Oryctolagus cuniculus: one gene and its partners. The protein of the gene in region 3 purifies or fractionates together with the protein of the main gene of each other region. This does not show direct contact. Links are inferred from orthologs where the notes say so. Each region holds a gene or a part of one and is shown on either strand. Other genes may lie near its edges.

Region 1 (6,005 bases), on a different chromosome or scaffold from region 3:
GCACGCGAGGAGAGGCCAAGGGCAGCTCCAGTGGGGCTGGTGGGGGGGAGGGGTTGTCAGGGCCAGACTCCATGATCCCCTTCCAGCAGACGCAGAACCCCGGTTATCTGGGCTTCCTCAGGCGCCAGCCCTGGGCCAAGCACATTGTGGGCGCCCGGGGGGAGGAAGCTGCCACGCCTCCAAGGCCAGGCAGAAGCGGCTTTGTGCCAAGAGAGGCCTGGGAAAGGAACTCACTGGGTGTGGGCCAGCCCTCTGTGTGTCCTCCGATGCGTCACTGCCCCTCTCTCGGTCCCTACAAGGCAGGGCCGGCCCAGGTGGCCCGAGGGGCTCTTCCAGTGGACGTGAAGTTCACACCCCAGCGACGGGAACCCCCAACGCCGCAGACAGACGCATCAGGGAAAATGTTGGGGCTTGGGCTGACCTTGGCTCACCTAGCCCCTTCCTAAGAGGGAGGAGAGCCAGTAGGGGGATTCCTGGGGCCAGCGCTGTGGTGTAGTAGGTTAAGCTTCCACCTGCAGTGCCGGGATCCCACATGGGCACAGGTTCAATTACCGGCTGCTCCACTTCCGATCCAGCTCTCTGCTATGGCCTGGGAAAAGCAGCAGAAGATGGCCCAAGCCTTTGGGTCCCTGCACCCACGTGGGAGACCCAGAAGAAGCTCCTGGCTCCAGATCGGCTCAGTTCCAGCCATTGTGGCTATTAGGGGAGTGAAACAGCGGATGGAAAACCCCTCCCTCCCTGTCTGTCTGTAACTCTGCCTCTCAAATAAATAAACCTTAAAAAAAAAGGGGGGGGGGGGGGCAGCGCTGTGGCACAGCAGGTTAATGCCCTGGCCTGAAGCGCCAGCATCCCATATGGGTGCTGGTTCTAGTCCCAGCTGCTCCACTTCCAATCTAGCTCTCTGCTATGGCCTGGGAAAGAAGTAGAAGATGGCCCAAGTCCCTGGGCCCCTGCACCCACGTGGGAGACCCGGAAGAAGCTCCTGGCTCCTGGCTTTGGATTGGCTCAGCTCCAGCCGTTGCAGCCAACTGGGGAGTGAACCAGCGGATGGAAGACCTCTCTCTGTGTAATTCTGACTTTCAAATAAATAAATAAATCTTTTTTAAAAAAATTAAAAAAAAGAGAATTCCTGCTCATCCTTGGTCTTCGAGACGTCCCACTAACACCTGCAATTCCTGGGCCCGGGGCTCAGGTCCCCAGCGGCTGTGAGGACAGAGGAGGCGAGGTCAGCACAGCGAGAAGCCCGCGCAGGCGCAGATCAGGGCGGGGCCCACACAGGACACCTGCCAGTCAGGGAGGCGGGAAACGAAGGTGAGGAGGGTTCAAGGCACCGGGGAGAGACCACGGCAGAGGAAAAAGCGTACAAACACATAACAGTCTGAAGGGCTGTGGAGACGGCCCCCGGCTCCTGGCCGTCAGCACAGCCGAGGCCCTCGCACACCACTAAAGGCATTTTATTGGGAAAAACAGAAATTGAAAAGTAGCCTCCAATCTTCTCCCTGCCCAAGGCAGCTGGGGGCCGGCTCCCCCAAAGTCCAGCAGAGAACGGGGGAGGTGGGGGGGGCGCCCAACTGGGCCCTCCGCAGGCTCAGGTGTAGAGGTCGAAGTCGATGCGTTTGGAGTTGTAGAACTGACCACCCGGGGGATCCAGCTTCCGGCAGTAGACTCCGTCTGGGAAGTAGCCTTCGCTCACCCAGGTCTGCAGGTAGACAGGGCGGGGCTGACACGGCGGGGCGGGGCGGGCCGGGGGTGGGGCGGGGCGTGCGGGGGAGGGGGGGGGGCGCTCACCTGCATCTGGGCACTGGTGAAGGGTCCGTAGAGCTCGGCCTCCCCGGTGTTCTCCCACTTATATTCCCACATCACGTCCACCAGGCCGTCGCCCGCCGACTCTGCCTCTGCAACCAGAGGCGGAGCCGATTGGAGCTCCACTGCCCGGCCTCCAGTCCACACCGCTGCCCCTCCTCTGCCCTCCAAAGCTCACCTTCTCTCTGGGGAGGGGTCGGGGTCTCCAGCTCCCCCTCAGCCACCTCCTCCGCAAACATGTCCAGGGAGGGCGGGGGCGTGGAATCCTGGGCCCCCTGGGTCCGACACCCCAACCCCTTCAGCCGCATGGCCAGGCGCTCTCGAGTTTCCTGGTAAACGCCAAGGTTGCCCCGGGCCACCATCTGGTCAGCCAACCCAGACAGCCGGTCCAGGCGCTGGGGGGAACTGGGCCGCCCGGGCCCCTTGCTGTTCCCTTTGCCCCCTCCTCGGGCCCCCAGCCGCCTCAGTGCCCCGGCCACTGTCTCCCTGGGCAGCAGCAGCTCTAGAAGTCCCTCGAGGAGGGCTTGGGCGCTCAGTGGTGTCTGGCCCAGGCTGTCCTCCTCCTCCGAGTCTGAAGCCCGGCGCTGATCCGGGGGCCGCTCCCTGATCTTCACCTAGAATGCAAGAAAGGGGTCAGGGTCGGGGGCTGCAGGGGGTTGTTTCCTACAAACCTGCTCCAGGAGCCCAGATCCAGCCCCCCCACCCCACCCCAGCCGTGCTGAGCCCTGGGCCGCACCCAATCAATATTGTCCAGCCAGCTGTCCTGGATTTGAGCGTCCCGGTTCAGGAAGTAGTTGCCATCGGCATCAAAGTGGCCTTCCTCCATCTCCTCCTGCAGGTTGAAGGGAGTGATGCGCACCCCTCCCTCACTGGGGAGCGTGGCTGCTTCCTGACCTGCATCAGAGACAGAGTCGCCCCATGCGAGGCATGCAAAAAAAAGAGAGAGACAGGAACCTCCCTCCCTCAAGTCCCCACTCGTCCCTCCCTGGGTGCTACTCACCTTCCACATCCTCTGAGGCCAGGATGTCATACTTGCTGGACCCCTCGTCGTCATCATCCTCTTCATCGCTGTCCAAGGAGTGCTTGCCTTTGAAGCGGCTCCCGGGACCCCCGGGCCCAGTCACGGGGTCCACCAGCTGAGAGCAGGAAGGGAGAAATGCAGAATTCTCAGCTCCTCCCAGACTCCAGCATCTGCACCCAAGCTGAGCACCCTCCAAACCCAGTCCTGGGGGACCTGCCCTCCTCTTCAGGCTCCGCTCTGCCTCCCCTCCCCCCAACAAAACGGTCTGGCCCCCTCACCTTCTTCCTGGGAACACTGACTTCATCCTCATCCTCGTCTCCCACGCCTTGGAAGGTCACTTTCCGCTTTGGCATGACGGGCCAGGGGGGCTTCCCTTAACCTGATGGGGGAAAAGTTGCAGAGGAAGCGGCCTGAGCGGGAGGCCACCCACTGCAAGAGAACCCTGGCCACAGGACACGCTTCCTGGTGCGTGCCAGGTCCATTGGGAGGGAAGAGCACAGAGAATCGGGGGCCAGAGCGGGAGCTGCAGCCCGGAGGCTCCCACGGCCTCGGCTCGCCATCCCAGAGCTAACGGAGCTGGGACGCCAGGCCAGACGCGGGGAGTATCCCCACCCCGACGACAGGGGCCCGGCTCCCCCACGTGACCACGCCCATATCCGGCCTCCGCAGTCTGAGCGCTACCGGGCTCGGCGGGCACACACACCCGCTCCCGCAACCCCAAAGCCCTCGGAGCCCGCGGGGCCCGGGCCGACCCAGGACCTGGCGCTCCCGGCCGCTCTGCTCCTCCTCCTCGCGCCGAACTCCCAATTCCACGTGGTTGACCCCCCAACTGTCCCGGGGTGTGTACAGATTAGAGGGCGGCACAGCCACGGGGACTCCGGCAGCCAGCCCCGCGCGCGCTCACCTGGGGATCTAGGGGAGGCAGGGGAAGAAAAGGAGAGATGCTTTCACCAGGGCTGTATCCGGGGCACCTGGCCGCCATCACCCGGAAGCGTACGGCGGAGGCCGGAAGTGGCTTCACTCCACTTGAAGGACTAACAGGAAGAGCGGGCGGAAGTAGGTAGTGAGCTAGGCGGCAACCTCCAACCCTGTCCCCCGCCAGGAGTGACGTGAGCCGCGCGGGTCTGCAGCGGCGAGGAGTGTGCGGGCGCCTAGACCCTGATCGGCGCGGAGGATGCCCCGAAGTGGCTTCGATGCCCTCACGCAGCCTCTGGGGGATGCAACTCCACTTAGAGGGGAGCCCAGGGTCAGGATGGAGGGGCAGAGGAGGAGCAGAGCCGATGGGTTCCAGCCCCAGGTGCCCCTTCCGGGGTTCGCACCACCGTTTCCCGCAGACTGGCCAAGTGCCTTACACTTGTCAGAGCTGCGCCCTCTCCTAGCGTGAGGCGCGGCCCTGCTCTTCTCCCTAAGGGAAGCCAGGCTCACCTGATGGCCTCTGAGGGCACTTGGGACACTTTCAGAACCCAGCCGCCTTTAGGACCCAGGGGAAATCACGTGCTCCACGCCTGTCCGCGGAGCCAGTTCCTGATTTCTGAGGCGGGGCAGCCACTGCTGCAGAGGTGGCATTGTCGCGGGTGCCCTGTGGCCAGCCCAGAAGCCCCTGTGCCTGCTCTCAGGTAGGCCTAGGAAAGGGCAATGGTCCCTCCGGCACCACAGCGGTGGGATGAAGCCCCCGCCCCCTTAGCAATCAGGGCCCAGCGACCCTGCCTAGGTGATGGGATTTGAGGCGGGGAGGTGGGCGGGCCTGGCCCTGGGTGGTGGGACAAGACAGCTAACGCCCAAGGGTGTGCAGGCCAAGACTGTGCCCAGGCAGAGCCTGCTGGAGCTAGGAGGGCGTGAGCATCCTCCCAGGCAACCAGGGGACCACTCCTCTCTCCCCCAGGGTCCCTCCAGGGCCACCACCATGAAACTGCACCGCAAGTCTGTGCTCAGTTTCTTCCAAGGCTGCAGAGCCCAGGCCCCAGACCAGGAGGGCATCTTGCTGAAGAAGGGGGCCCGAAACAGCAGCTACCAGCGCCGCTGGTTTGTCCTCCGTGGAAACCTCCTCTTCTACCTGGAACACCAGGAAGCCCACACTCCCCTGGGCCTCATCCTGTTGGAGAGCTGCCGGGTGGAGCCTCGCCTTAAGGCCGCAGAGCCCTTCGCCTTCACCATCGTGACCCCCGGGGGAGAGGGCACAGGGGGGCGGGCCTACAAGCTGGCCGCAGAAAGCCAGGAGGAGCTGAGGGCTTGGCTGTGGGCGCTGGCCGGGGTGAGCTGGAGGCGGCTGGCTAGGCTGCTTCCCCCCATGGAGGCCCAGTACCGGGAGCTCTGCCAGGCGGCTGGCCAAGAACCCAGGTGCCCCGCCGAGGACTGTGGCTTTCTAGCCATCCTCGGGCCCCACTCCAGCTTCCAGGAGCTGCACGAGCGCTTTGGGAAGGAGATCCGGGTGCTGCTGGCAGTGCACAGAGGACTCCGGGAAGCCAGGTCCCAGGCAAAGCTGGAGCAGCTCAACCAGTGTTTGTCGAGTGACTGAGAGGCAGACCAAAGGCCAGGGAGTACCCGTCTGCAGAGATCACCGGAGACCCAGGCCCTGGCTCCTTCCCACCCTGCACCCTAATCCCGGCCCCAAACCCCTTCATCAAATAACACGGCAGGAGACGGCCCAGGGACAACAGCAGGTTCTTTTCCGGTTCCTCAAAGCGCCACAAGGGGTGGGGGCAGAGACAGAAGAAAAATGTAAACATTGGGTTCCACCCCCTGAAGGCCAAGGGAAGACCCCTTACTCAGGGGTTGGAAGGGATGGAGGTGAAGGGGGGGTCCTGGTAAGACGAGGCAGGGGAGGCCTGAGAATACAGAGCGAAGGGGGAGGGGTGGGGGTGTGAGGGGAAGTGGGAGACGTCCTATCCCAGTGCACGTCCCCTTAAATAAACCAGAGCGCAGAGCATTATGGAAACCGAAGGACAGAAGTGGGAGCGGGCACCCCCACCCGCCGGCCCCGTCCTCCATACATAATTACAGCACAGCCTCAGAGACCAGGAGCGAGCCGGGGCCCGGGCTGGCAAGTGGGGGAGACCCCAGGTCCGCAGAAAGGGAAAAGAAACCCAGCTCCCCCCGCCCCACCGTGGGGAGGAGGAGCCACTGGAGTGTAGGAATCCGCGAACTGCTGCCGCCTGCCCCAGGTGGCGGCCCTGTGGTGACA
Region 2 (6,099 bases), on a different chromosome or scaffold from region 3:
ACTATCATAAAGAACAAGTGTTTCTTATCAGGAAACAAGGTGGCACATAGGCTGTGCTGGAAAAAAATTGCTCAGAGCATACAGCATCATGAACTCAGAAAGTTTTGAGATCTTCTGGCCTACAGAATAAATGACAACAGTATTTTAAGTAGACTATACCCACTTCCACTGAAACATGGGAAAGATGAAAACACTTTTTATTTTCCTGAAACCCTTTAAATCAAGCCCAAGGTAAAGGCAGCTTAAGAGGTGAGACCTTAATGGACTTTGAAATCGACATTTCAAGTGGACTTGGGCTGATAGTAACTGAAAGTGGCCAGAAAATGAAAACTTCCTGATATACTGACAAAGAAAAGATAAGGCAAATCGAATATAAGTAAAAGAAATTAGTGAGAGAAAATGATTCTGTCATTTTATTATTCACTTGTGATATCTCAATTACAATAGATAAGGACCATTAAACTCTATTTGATACCCCATATATCAACTCTTACCACAGGAAGCAATGGTAAATATGGAAGTGAATCCCTTCATGCATTTGGTAATTGAACAGATATTACAGAATGTCTAATTTGTGCTGAGAATGTTTAAAACACAGAGAATGTGAATGTGAGGGCCATCTGGCTGTGCCATTGATCATTAAGGTTGATTCTGCTGATCTAGCTGGCTACACAGATATTCCCTTCCTCTCTGCTCTAAAGTCAAGGCATATCAGTAGCTGTTAAAATATCCAAAAAAGCCCTCAAGGGATATACAGAAGTCTGTAAAGGACAGTGTTTAAAGATGCCTGCCCCAATCACTTTCTCATTACCCTATTGCTAGTATTTCAAAACACTTACTCACTGAAAGTAATTCATTTATTCATTTATATTATTTAGCATGTTTTTAGTACCAGAATGTAGCCATCAAGAGAGCTGAGATGGCTCTTCCTCCACTTCTCAACAGTGGTGGTATGCACCATAGATTTATAACAGGCTCCTTTCTATTTGCACCCTTATTATTTGGACAGAAATACTATAAAGTTTGACCCCATATGTATTCAGTGTTGAACTTTCCCCAAATCCCAAGCATACATATCCATTCCATATTCCTCCTTTCCCCTACTCCCACCACAATTCCTAACCTAGTGACGTTTTAGTCAGTCTCCTTATGCTTAGTAAATGACATTGTCATCTATTTACTTGGTGGACAATTAGGAGCTCAAGCCACAAATCCAGAATTTATCCCTGATTGCTGTTCTTCAAGTTACTAAAATTTTACTTCCAAAATATATCTCAAGATCCTCCTATGACTACTTCTGCTAAACCCTGTCAGGCTGTGTCTTTTCCCCTGGGCTTCCCCAGTAGCCCAACTTCATGCTTCTCCTATATTTTTTCACATGGCAATCAGAAAAATTTTCATACTAAAATTTGATCATGTCCTCATCTTCCCCAAATACACAACTACTAAACGTCTTTGCGGGGCCAGTGCCGTGGCTCACTTGGTTAATCCTCCGCCTGCAGCACCCGCATCCCATATGAGTGCCGGGTTTAGTCCCGGTTGCCCCTCTTCCAGGCCAGCTCTCTGCTGTGGCCCGGGAGAGCAGTGGAGGATGGCCCAAGTGCTTGGGCCCCTGCACCCGCATGGGAGACCAGGAGGAAGCACCTGGCTCCTGGCTTCGGATCAGCGCAGCGCGCTGGCCACAGCAGCCATTGGAGTGTGAACCAACGGTAAAAGGAAGACATTTCTCTCTGTCTCTCTCTCTCTCACTGTCTAACTCTGCCTGTCAATAAATAAATAAGTCTTCATTACCAATTGCTCTGCATAAAAGCAAGGATCTAAACAAACCTACAAGATTTACATATTGAGTCTCTACCTATTCAACTTTTTTTCCTTGCCAATTAATACTCCATGAGAACAGAATTTTGATGTATTGTTTACTGCTATCTCATTCACATTTATCCAAGGAGAAAATAAAAAGATCAAAGAAATACCTTGCTCCTTCACAGTGTAACAGCTGAACCTAATTTCACTTGGAGTGAAGGGTAGATTTCCGACCCTTTTGAGGTTATGCCTCACTATATTCAGAATCTAAGCAGAATAGTGGGTCACAGTACATACCCCATGTCAGAAGACCAGGGGTCAAATTTTAGCTTTCCCACTCTTTGTATATCCTCCCTTGAAAAAAAGACTACTTACCCATGCACCTAAAATGTATAAGGGTATTTCAAAAAGTTAATGGAAAATAACATGAAAATTTATTTTGGTGCAATTTTGAACTTGATATGCAGGCTTTTATGTACTTGTATGTGTAAAGACATTTATGCATTATGGCATGTCCTAGAGGCTGCCATTTCTGTGAAATGAATCGCTCACCCAAGGCAAAATGCTTGTAGCTATGTCCCTTGCAGTACCTTCTCCGGTTTACCAAAGGACTAGCTAACTCTAGTTATTTCACTGTCAGGACTGCAAAGGCACACTGCTTGTTCCCACACCAAGTTACATCCGCCAGCCTGTCCTATTCACTTCCCCGAGCCAGGGAATAGCCCAGAGGCACAGCCCCGGAGGCGCCGCGCCACGCCACGCCCAGACTCGCACACCCCACCGCGCAGGCGCGCAGTGAGTCCTGCAGTCCCGGGGCACAGACCCGCTGCCGCTCGGGCGGCGAGCTTCCCCGTTCTCTGAGTGCGAGCTTCTGGTAATTTTCATGCCTCTGTGAGCCGTGTTTGCTTTTAACACCTCTGGCGGCTACCTGGGATTTAACTCACTTTATTTGCCTTCACTGTCCGCACCTTGCCTTTCAGTGTGAGGCGTCCCGGACAGCTGCCGCTCGGCCGTGGCGCAGTTCTCGCGAGAAGGAGATCATCTCGCGGTGTTTCCTTGTTACCAGCGTCCTTAGCGCGAGGCGGAAAAGTGCTCGCTGGTGTCGGCTTCTGTTGATGCCGCTGCTTCGCGTCGGGAGGCTTCTTCCTGCGACTTATCTGTTGCCGCTTTTCCAAGGAAAATGGCGGCCCCCGAGCAGCCGCTGCTCGTATCAAGAGGATGCACAAGCTCTACGCTGTCCCCGCCGCGAGGCGACCGAACCCTTCTGGTGAGGCACTTGCCAGCAGAGCTGACCGCTGAGGAGAAAGAGGACTTGCTGAAGTATTTCGGGGCGCAGTCCGTGCGTGTCCTGTCAGATAAGGGGCGACTGGTAAGGTTGTGCGTCCTCCTGAGTATCGCGTGTAGCCCTTGAGTGCTTACCGGGCGGGGGAGGCGCTGACGAAAGGGGCGGAAACGAGTGGAGACGAGGGGCTTGTGTGAGCGGAGGGGCCTCAGCTTCCCCCTTTTACGTCAAAATATCTTGTGTGCGAGGGGGAGTTTGAATTGGCTTGGGTCCGGATTTCGTCACAGCACCGCCAAGAGTGAGAAAGTGAAAAGAGTAGAAATGAAAATAGCTTTATTGTATTCCCGTTGTTGACCAGTCTCCGAATTTCTCAACGCCTCTGAATTTGGGGTACTGGGAGTATTCTTAGGAATAGGTAACAAAGGAGTTTTTAAAAGTTCAGGCTCATTTAGAAACCGTTGTCAAAACACTGATCAGAATAGAGCAGAAAGTGCAATAGCTGTTTGAGTAAACTAGATAGAGGATTTCTGCTAAGTTTTTGACCCAGGTGCTTTTTCATCAAGATTTCCCTACGGGATCTTTTAGGGAAAAATACTTTAACACTTAATAATTCCTACCCACGAATTTGTACAGTTTTATACTTGATGTTTTAGGTAATTTTCTCTTAGTTAAAATAGTAATGGCACTATTCAGTTGCTGCAAAATGATCTGTGATGGGGCAAGACGTCAATGTTTTTAAAAAGTCTCTCCAAGAGACTCCAGTGTGTAGCCAGGAGTGAGAATCCCTAAGTTGGAAGAAAGACCGGTTTTGATGAGTTTGAGTATTACGCATTTCGAGCAAATACAAGTAAAATACCGCATCTGGTTCAACTGAAGTACACTTAGTTAGATCATCTTGGATCTAATTAGATAAAATTGGGACGTGTGATGTAAGTAAGCAACACTTAATAAGCATTTACAAGAACTCAGTATAGTGTATAGTGTAGGTGTATTGTAAATAGGGGCTATTTTATATTTTTAGATGGGTTAAGAGTGATCCTCTGAGGATAGTAGGGGTTTTTAAACTTCAGATATGTTTCACAATTTATATAAATAAAGCCTGCATGGAGTATGTTTATACCTTTATATGAAAAATGTTGCATAGCTTTCATCTCAAAAAGTCCGACCCAAAAAAAGACTCAAAATCACTGAACTGAAATCAGTCATCAGTTTAAATGTACCATCATTTTATTAATGTGCCACATTCCTCCATTAGTACTGTTAGGAAAATGGCACAGTCTTATCTATGGCACAATCTACTCCCTGACACCATCCTAGGCTTTATTGCTGGATGCCAGGTGGGCATATGGCCCAATCACCAATGTCAAGCTCCACCCCCATCCTAATTGGATTCCCTGCTACTTCCCTGCCTGTCCTCCACAAAGTTTTAAAAGGACCTGTTCCTGAACACGTCTCTCTCTCCTTCCACTCTCCCCTCCTCTCTCTCTCTTGCTCGTTCTCTCTTGCCCCTCTCCTTTCTCTCTCTCCCCCTCTCCATCTCCTGCCCCCTGTCTCTCACACTCTCCTTTTCCCTCTTTTCCTTCTTTGCCCCTTCCTTCTGGTCTGTCGGGTTTCCCCCAATAAACTCTTTCCCTTACTCCGGTGTTTGGTGTGTTTTGTGGCAGCCTTACAAGTACAACATCAGATTTCTTTATGGGTAACTGAAATTATACTGGAAGTAATTTGTACCTTAAATTTGTTTCAGAAACATACAGCTTTTGCTACTTTCCCTAATGAAAAAGCAGCCATAAAGGTATGATTTTCTTTACTATTGAAGTTATCAACAATTTCCTGTATCTAATCTTGGTACAAAAATGGGAAGAACTATTAAACTTTAGTTTTTAAAAACTTTCAAAAGAGTTAACATTCCATGTGTTTGCCCAACAGACTATATTTGTTTTGGCAATTAACAGATCTTTTTGTCTAACATTTAGGTAATGGTATGTAAGAATAGTGAAATAAATCAAAATTAGCAGCATATATAACTAAAAAAATGGCAAGTTCAAAGCATGTGAAGATAACTAACTGTTGGGAAGCAAAATGGTTTACGTATTAAAGGAGAGTGAATATACACACAGAGAGTACTTCAAAAAGTTGAGCAAAAAGCATGTTAGAAAAACTATGCATAGATTTCAAGAAGCTTTCAAAGCAGTAAATTTACCTTTGAATTCCATTTTTCCATTAACTTTGTGAAGTCTCAGAATCATTTGCAAAGTAAGTGGCCTTTCACATAATCTCTAATGTTTGGTTGTTTTTTGAGAGATCAAGCGAGATGGACCTTGCAGATTTGAGGTACACAAAGTAAAGATTTAGGACATGGAAATGTGTAAGTAGGTCAAGGGCTAAGGGTTGTGATGGAAATAGGAATGGAAAAATAGACTGAGTAGAAGAGACATATACTAAAGGCACTTGATACTTTTGACCTAGCTAATAATATGAACAGGCCTGTGAAAGATACTTGGTGGAATTTATATCATGGATCCAGTGTGGAGAAATATTAAATATAGCAAGTCCAAATAGAAAGCTGTTAAAATGGCCAGGGTGAGAATAAGTATCTGAAGAAGGTGATCCAGTGACAAAGGGTAAAGAAGTATACTTGATAAAGATCATGTTGGTAGGCCTTGTGATGTAGGGTTGAAAGAGTGAATAGTTCAGATATGTGGACTGAGTTGTTAGGTTGTCAGATTAGCTTCTCTGGGCAGTGAGAGTAGGAAGATGTTTACAAAGGTACATAATGAATTCAAATGTCATTTGTTAACTTTGAAAAGTCCTTGCTACTTCAATGGAAAGAGCTAGTAAACATTTAAAAATATTAGCCTAGAGCTGAGGCAAGGTCAAGAACTCAGATTCTTCAACCTTATGAATAGATACTACCAAATGAAAGGTGAACTAGTAGAAAAGACTGGGTGAGAGTAGTATTTTTTTTTAAAAGAAAAATGTAGAATTAGGAAATAAATTACCATGGATGTAGAGAG
Region 3 (6,099 bases):
AAATGCAAAACCAAAGCTGCTATATAGAAAACAGTGTGGCAGGTCCTCAAACACAGAACTGCCATATGACCCAGCAATCCCACTTCTGACAGCAGGGACTCGAATATACACCCATGTTCATAGTAACATCATTTACAGTAGCCAAAAGGAAGACGCAATCTAAGTGTCCACAGGAGGTGAATGGGTTAGTGTGGCACATCCATACAATGGAGTCTTTCTCAGTCATAAAAGGCATGAAATCTGACACATGGCTGTACGACATGGGTGACCCCTGAGTACACTGTGCTAAGTGAAACAAGCCAAACACAAAAAGATACAATCATCCCTTGGAATCTGGGAGATTGGTTTCCGAACACCCTCTCTGCTCCCTGTGACCAAGGATACCAAAATCTGAGGGTGCTTAAGTCCCTCTCTGTAAAAGAGCACAGTACCTACATATGAACTATGCACATGCTCTCATATACGTTAAATCATGCCTAGATTACTTATGTTCCCTACTACAATGTAAATGCTATGTAAAAATGCTATAATGTCTTGTTTAGGAAATGACAAGAAACAAAGGCCTGTATATGTTTGGTACTGACTATATGATTCTTCCCAAAATGATTAAATTCACAAAGTAGAAAAGTGGTTACCAACAGCTAGAATCTGGGGTACGGGGGTGTTACTGCTTAATGGGTACAGAGTTCCACTTTAGGATAATGAAAAAGTTCTGAAATTGGGTACTAGTGGTAGCTGCAAAACAATGTTCTCACATACTATTACTGAGTGACATCTTTAAAAATGGTTAAAGTGGCCAAATTTTTATGTATATTTTATCACAATAAAAAAATTCACACCAAATCCCCCCCCTCACTGGCAAAATCATTTACAACTAGTTTAACCAACATAGTTCATCAATTCTTTCAGCTAATCTGTCTTCCCTCTGAAGAAATGCTTCTAGTTGATTACATTAATGTTGTGCCTTTAGCATTCATTAAGAGACAAGAATTTCACTTGAAAAATATCAGATTTAAGCGCTGGAAAAAGGTTTGCTTTTGAAAGCAACTCATGTATTTCCCTTATTATATGAATAATCAAATGCCTGAGTCCTCCTCACTTTACCCACCACGAGTAAGGTCTGTGAATCCTGGCCTAACCCCGTGTCTTGTACCTAGTCTATCAGTTGTAACATCCTCCCTGGCCTTGACTTCATTCCTGAATTTTGTTCTATCTTTGCCAACTGTATGAATTATTAGTCACACGAAACCTTGGAGGAATAAAGTGGAACAGAAGAAACACAGTGTCACCACCCTTTCACCTCTAGCTTACCTGCATGTTCATATAGCCGTCTACAGACACCAGGTAGCCCTTGTACTCCATTCCCCACTTGAGTTTCACCATCACGGGCTTCCCTGTTAATCCATTGAGGAAAGGTTTGGGATTGAGGGGTAAACTCTGCACAAAACAAACAAACAAAAAATCCATTGATTTTTTTTTTTCCTTAACTTGGCTTCCACTCCTCACTCTCCTCTACCAATCCACCAATCAATATTTTGTAACATCCAAATGAAGCAAACTCTTCACTCCCTATCACTCTACTACCTAATTTCCACTTTTGTTTGTTGAAGAGCATCTGGGAAATTTTTTTTTTTTTTTTGACAGGCAGAGTGGACAGTGAGAGAGAGACAGAGAGAGAAAGGTCTTCCTTTGCCGTTGGTTCACCCTCCAATGGCCGCCGCTGCAGCCGGCGCACCGATCTGATGGCAGGAGCCAGGATCCAGGTGCTTTTCCTGGTCTCCCATGGGGTGCAGGGCCCAAGCACTTGGGCCATCCTCCACTGCACTCCCGGGCCACAGCAGAGAGCTGGCCTGGAAGAGGGGCAACCGGGACAGAATCCGGCGCCCCAACCGGGACTAGAACCCGGTGTGCCAGCGCCGCAAGGTGGAGGATTAGCCTAGTGAGCCACGGCGCCGGCTAGCATCTGGGAAATTTAACCAGTTATCCCATTTCGTCTTCAACCCATCACAAAAAAATAAGTGTTCACGCTGCACTTAGGAGACAAGCGGCACCTGCAGTCCTCAGTGTCGCAAGCTCTAAGGAAACAAAGATGAAAGCCCTACAACAAACGTGTAACGAGGCTCTGTCCTTAAGAAGCCAGGGTGGGGGTGTGGCGCTGCAGACATACAGACAATTATATTGCAAAGCAGTAAGAGCGATGCTATGCAGAAAGGCCCAACCAACTCAGGAAAAAAGACAGGAACGGGCTGCCTGGTAGGAGCAATGCCTCCGTTTTAAAGGGTGAAGTCTATTCCAGAGGGAAAGGGGACCGCTGGAGGCCAGGGAGGCTTCCCATCTGGAATGACCGTGTGTATGTGTGCGCTTGCGCGCGTCATCCCGAGAACAAGCAGTACGGTCAGCATCCCACTCGGGGCAGGACCAAGCTCGGCAGGGCTCGGTCCTCACCCGACCGGTGCATCGCCGGCGAACCGAGTCTCTCCGCGCTCACCTCCTCACCCCGAGGAAGAACCCAGACACCGCTACTAAATCGCGGGAAAAGTAGGAGGGCTCCACCCGCAATAACCGCCTAACGGCCCCCAGCTCCCCACTTCTCGGGCGCAGCGAGCACACAGCCGCTACGACGTGTGCCAGAGCGCATCCCATCGGGCCTGATGAGAAAGCTCCGACGGCTGCCGAGGGCGCCGGGGTAGACCCTCCACACGCTGCCCAGGTCCTGGCGCTCTCGCAAGCGGTGGCCGCTTTCGGCCAACACCCACCACGAGTGTAGCTGTCCCTCCCTCATCGTTCCGGAGCCCCATTTCCTGTCACCCGGGCTCGGGTGAAAGCCCCCCTCCGGGGGCAGCCGCGGAAGGCGCCCCAGCGCCCCGGGGCCGCAGCCTCCCGCCCGCTCCCGTCTAGGCCGGTGCCCATTTCGGTGAACAGCGCCTGACGGACGTCTGTCTCTCACACCCCGCCCAGCTCGGCCGGTGCAGGGTCCGCATGGGCACTTCTCAGTCTCTAGTCCTGGAGCCCAAGACTCAACCTGGCCAAGTCGCCGGCGCTCAATAAGCGTCAGAACGAATACACGAACGCTCCGGGGCCTGGGCCAAGGCGGGCTGGAGAAACATCACCGACGGAATAAAAGCGGCTTCATGAGTGCGACGAAGTGGGAAACGCAAACCGCTTCAGCGTTTGCTACATCCACCCCGACTACCTCTTTCTTCCCTGGACTCAGAAAGAAGAGGCAGCAGGAGGCGAGGGTCGTCCCAGCCAGGAAGGGACTCGCGCGCGTCCGCGGAACCCGCAGACTGGCGCCCCGGTGCGCTGCGCCTCGCGGATGAATGGGAAAGGCGCGAAGCCGCCACCAGGCTCAGCCAGCCCGAAGTTGCCTTCCCGCCCTCTCCGTCTCGCGACTCCAGCAGTCCTCCCTCTCCTTACCATCACGACTTCGGGCTAACGTTGCGGATTAGACGCCGCCGACGCAGATACAGCCCGTCCCGCGTGCTCGGAGCAGCTTCCCCCAAGGCCCAGACCTCCGAAGTTGCAAGAGAAATGGCCGCCAAACCTCAGCTTGACCTTTCACCTCCCACCACCGCTCTTTCGCCTTCTATGATTGGTCAAAAAGAGGCGTGTGCTGATTGGAGGAGATGGCGCAGCCGTGTCTCCCAGCAACCAGAGACGCGTTCGGCGTTACTAGTCTTCTCCCCTGCCTTGAAGAACCGGCTGTGAGAGGCCGCGTACCCTGTGGCGCACACGTGATTTCTCGGCAGCTTGGCTAATGGGGGGTCGCTTTGTTAGTTTACAACGGTGAGAACGCGTTCGGGGCTCTCAGGTCCCCGGGTACCGCGATTTGGGGGCGCCTCTGCCACAGCCCCCTTCGACCTGAAGGTTGTCTATTCGGTAGCACCCGTTTCAGCGTTCTAAGAGGAAATGAGAGGAGCGGGCCTGGAGGCGGGGAGGTGAAACGGAGGGGCCGCGGCAGAATTCTTTGCAGACTAGGAGCCAGGACCTCCCCCGGGGCGTTGCCCGCGGGCCCCCGGCCCCGCCGGCCTGGGGAGCACCTGCGGCAGCACGGGCTGATCGGTGCCCGCGACGCAGCCGCCAGCCCCTCTCCGCGCGACCGACGCTGGACTAGCCCGGATGGGAGGTGCTGAATGCAGATCTCGGAGAACTGGCGCTTGGAGGAGGACCGCCTGCTGCTGGACACCCCCCAGAAGATGCGTTTGGACTTGAGCTTTCAGGAGATGCTCGCTGTGACTTACGTGTTGTCGGTTTAAATGATGAGCAGCAAGTCAGGGTGATCATCAGTGTGGTGTAGACCGAATAGCTGTTAGAATTATTTACCCCAAAGTGCACTGGGTTTTTTCTGGTTAGTCATCGTGTCGTGGATCTTCAGCTTTTAAGAAAAAAAATTCTTAATTTTCTTTATGAGAGAGCGAGAGCGAGACAGAGAGCGTACACGCTCTTGGACCTACTGGCTCAACTCCCCAAACACCCGCAACAAGCCAGGCTGAAGCCGGGGGCTGGGAACTCCCAAGTGAGTGGAAGGGACCCAAACTACTTGAGCCATCACCTGCTGCCTCCCAGGGTGCATTAGCAGGAAGCTGGGTCAGAAACCCAGCGGGGACTCCAAGCCAGACACTCCCATCTGGGATGTGGGCGTCTTAGGCGCTATGCCAGATGTTACACCCCTGCATCTTTAACTTTGCTATAATCTTTAGTTCCTAACTTTATGTCCGGCTCTTTCCCAATTATTATAGAAATCACACAGTGTGATCTGAAGTTACAGCTGAGATGAGAAAAACAGACTTGGCAGAGAACTTGCCCAGAGGCACGTAGCTGGATTTTAACCCCAAAACTGCTTTCTCTACTTCATAAAGCCACCTTTCAGCAACTTTAGAAAATTGGCTACATTCCAGCCTGCACAAAATGAGCCTGGAGTGTCTTGTTATGCAGAAGTAGGAAAAATGCTCAGAGTGACGGGGTCATTCAAAAGGATGTCCCAATTTTGACAACTTGAACATCAAATATGTAAAGACAGCCATGAATTACGACCCACTGAATATAACAGGAATCCATGAGTCCACAGTGAATAAATGGAGAAAGTCTGATTTGGAATGGGATAGCTAATGCAGTTTCAAGGCACTCTTCCAAGAAACACTAATTGCAAAGGAGGGAAAGTAACTACAGTGAGGAAGCCTGGTAGCCGTCACTTTAATCCAATGCTCAAATGATGATTGTGAACAATGGGACAAATCCAAAGTATGTGTACCACTAGGTAAGATGCAAAGAGCAGGTGCATTTCCGTGGTGCTCATACCAAAGACGTAACAGGAATGTAATAGTCTGGAAATACCAGACAAACCAGACTGAGAGACTTTACTAAACAACTGGCCCCAGGGACAGGCATTTGTCTCAGCAGATGAGGTGCCACCAAGGACACCCGCAACACCTGTCAGAGAGCCTGGCCTTGAGTCCCTGATCCACTTCTCCTTCCGGTTGCCTGCTAATGTGCACCCTGGGAGGGCACAAATGATGGCTCAAGTACTTGGGTCCCTCCCACCCATCTGGAGACCTGGTTGTATTCAGGGCTCCTGGCTTCAGCCTGACCCGACCTTGGCTGTTGTGGACATCTGGGGAGTGAGCCAGAGGGAGAAAGATACCCCCTTCAGCCTTTTGAGTAAATATTTAGAAAAGATCAACAACTAGCCTCTAGTGTTCTAAAGTGTCAAGGCCACAGAAGTAGCCCCAAGATAAATTGCTAAGAAAAGCACACACTGCACAACACCTTATAAACACCTGGGTTTATAAAAGGTGGGGGGGGGCAGTGTGTCCGGGTGTTTGCAGGTGCATGAATGCACTGGAGAACTCCTAAGACGCCACATGCATTGCTTATCTGAGGGTGTAGTGGGAACTGCTGAAACCAGACAAGGATGAGGCTTTTGACTGTATACATTATTTAACTTTTAAAAGGTTGAGTTGAAATTCACATATCATGGAGCCGGTGCTGTGGCGCAATGGGTTAACGCCCTGGCCTGAAGCGCCGGCATCCCATATGGGCACCGTTTCTAGTCCCGGCTGCTCCACTTCTGATCCAGCTCTCTGCTATGGCCTGGGAAAG

The links. The genes of interacting proteins can lie anywhere in the genome.
Region 1: the proteins of SNRPF (region 3) and CD2BP2 purify together in Homo sapiens (affinity purification with mass spectrometry; 4 studies listed by BioGRID and IntAct, counting the BioPlex papers as one, with this or other methods). This does not show direct contact. The link is inferred for Oryctolagus cuniculus from reciprocal best matches to the Homo sapiens genes SNRPF and CD2BP2.
Region 2: the proteins of SNRPF (region 3) and RNPC3 purify together in Homo sapiens (co-immunoprecipitation; 3 studies listed by BioGRID and IntAct, counting the BioPlex papers as one, with this or other methods). This does not show direct contact. The link is inferred for Oryctolagus cuniculus from reciprocal best matches to the Homo sapiens genes SNRPF and RNPC3.

The regions. Positions count from the first base shown.
Region 1 is NC_091450.1:6,705,646-6,711,650, reverse strand, and holds CD2BP2 (CD2 antigen cytoplasmic tail-binding protein 2), read right to left. Parts: upstream 3,859-6,005; 5' UTR 3,729-3,858; exon of another isoform or gene 3,584-3,728; intron 3,473-3,583; exon of another isoform or gene 3,204-3,472; 5' UTR 3,178-3,203; coding exon 3,103-3,177; intron 2,940-3,102; coding exon 2,804-2,939; intron 2,698-2,803; coding exon 2,540-2,697; intron 2,418-2,539; coding exon 1,982-2,417; intron 1,896-1,981; coding exon 1,789-1,895; intron 1,700-1,788; coding exon 1,589-1,699; 3' UTR 1,372-1,588; downstream 1-1,371. Other genes in the region: sesquipedalian-1, read left to right, coding at 4,728-5,339. UniProt on the Homo sapiens protein: Involved in pre-mRNA splicing as component of the U5 snRNP complex that is involved in spliceosome assembly.
Region 2 is NC_091438.1:66,821,329-66,827,427, reverse strand, and holds the start of RNPC3 (RNA-binding region-containing protein 3), read left to right. Parts: upstream 1-2,879; 5' UTR 2,880-2,983; coding exon 2,984-3,172; intron 3,173-4,829; coding exon 4,830-4,877; intron 4,878-6,099. UniProt on the Homo sapiens protein: Participates in pre-mRNA U12-dependent splicing, performed by the minor spliceosome which removes U12-type introns. U12-type introns comprises less than 1% of all non-coding sequences. Binds to the 3'-stem-loop of m(7)G-capped U12 snRNA.
Region 3 is NC_091442.1:98,722,583-98,728,681, reverse strand, and holds the start of SNRPF (small nuclear ribonucleoprotein F), read right to left. Parts: upstream 3,558-6,099; 5' UTR 3,421-3,557; coding exon 3,418-3,420; intron 1,438-3,417; coding exon 1,312-1,437; intron 1-1,311. UniProt on the Homo sapiens protein: Plays a role in pre-mRNA splicing as a core component of the spliceosomal U1, U2, U4 and U5 small nuclear ribonucleoproteins (snRNPs), the building blocks of the spliceosome.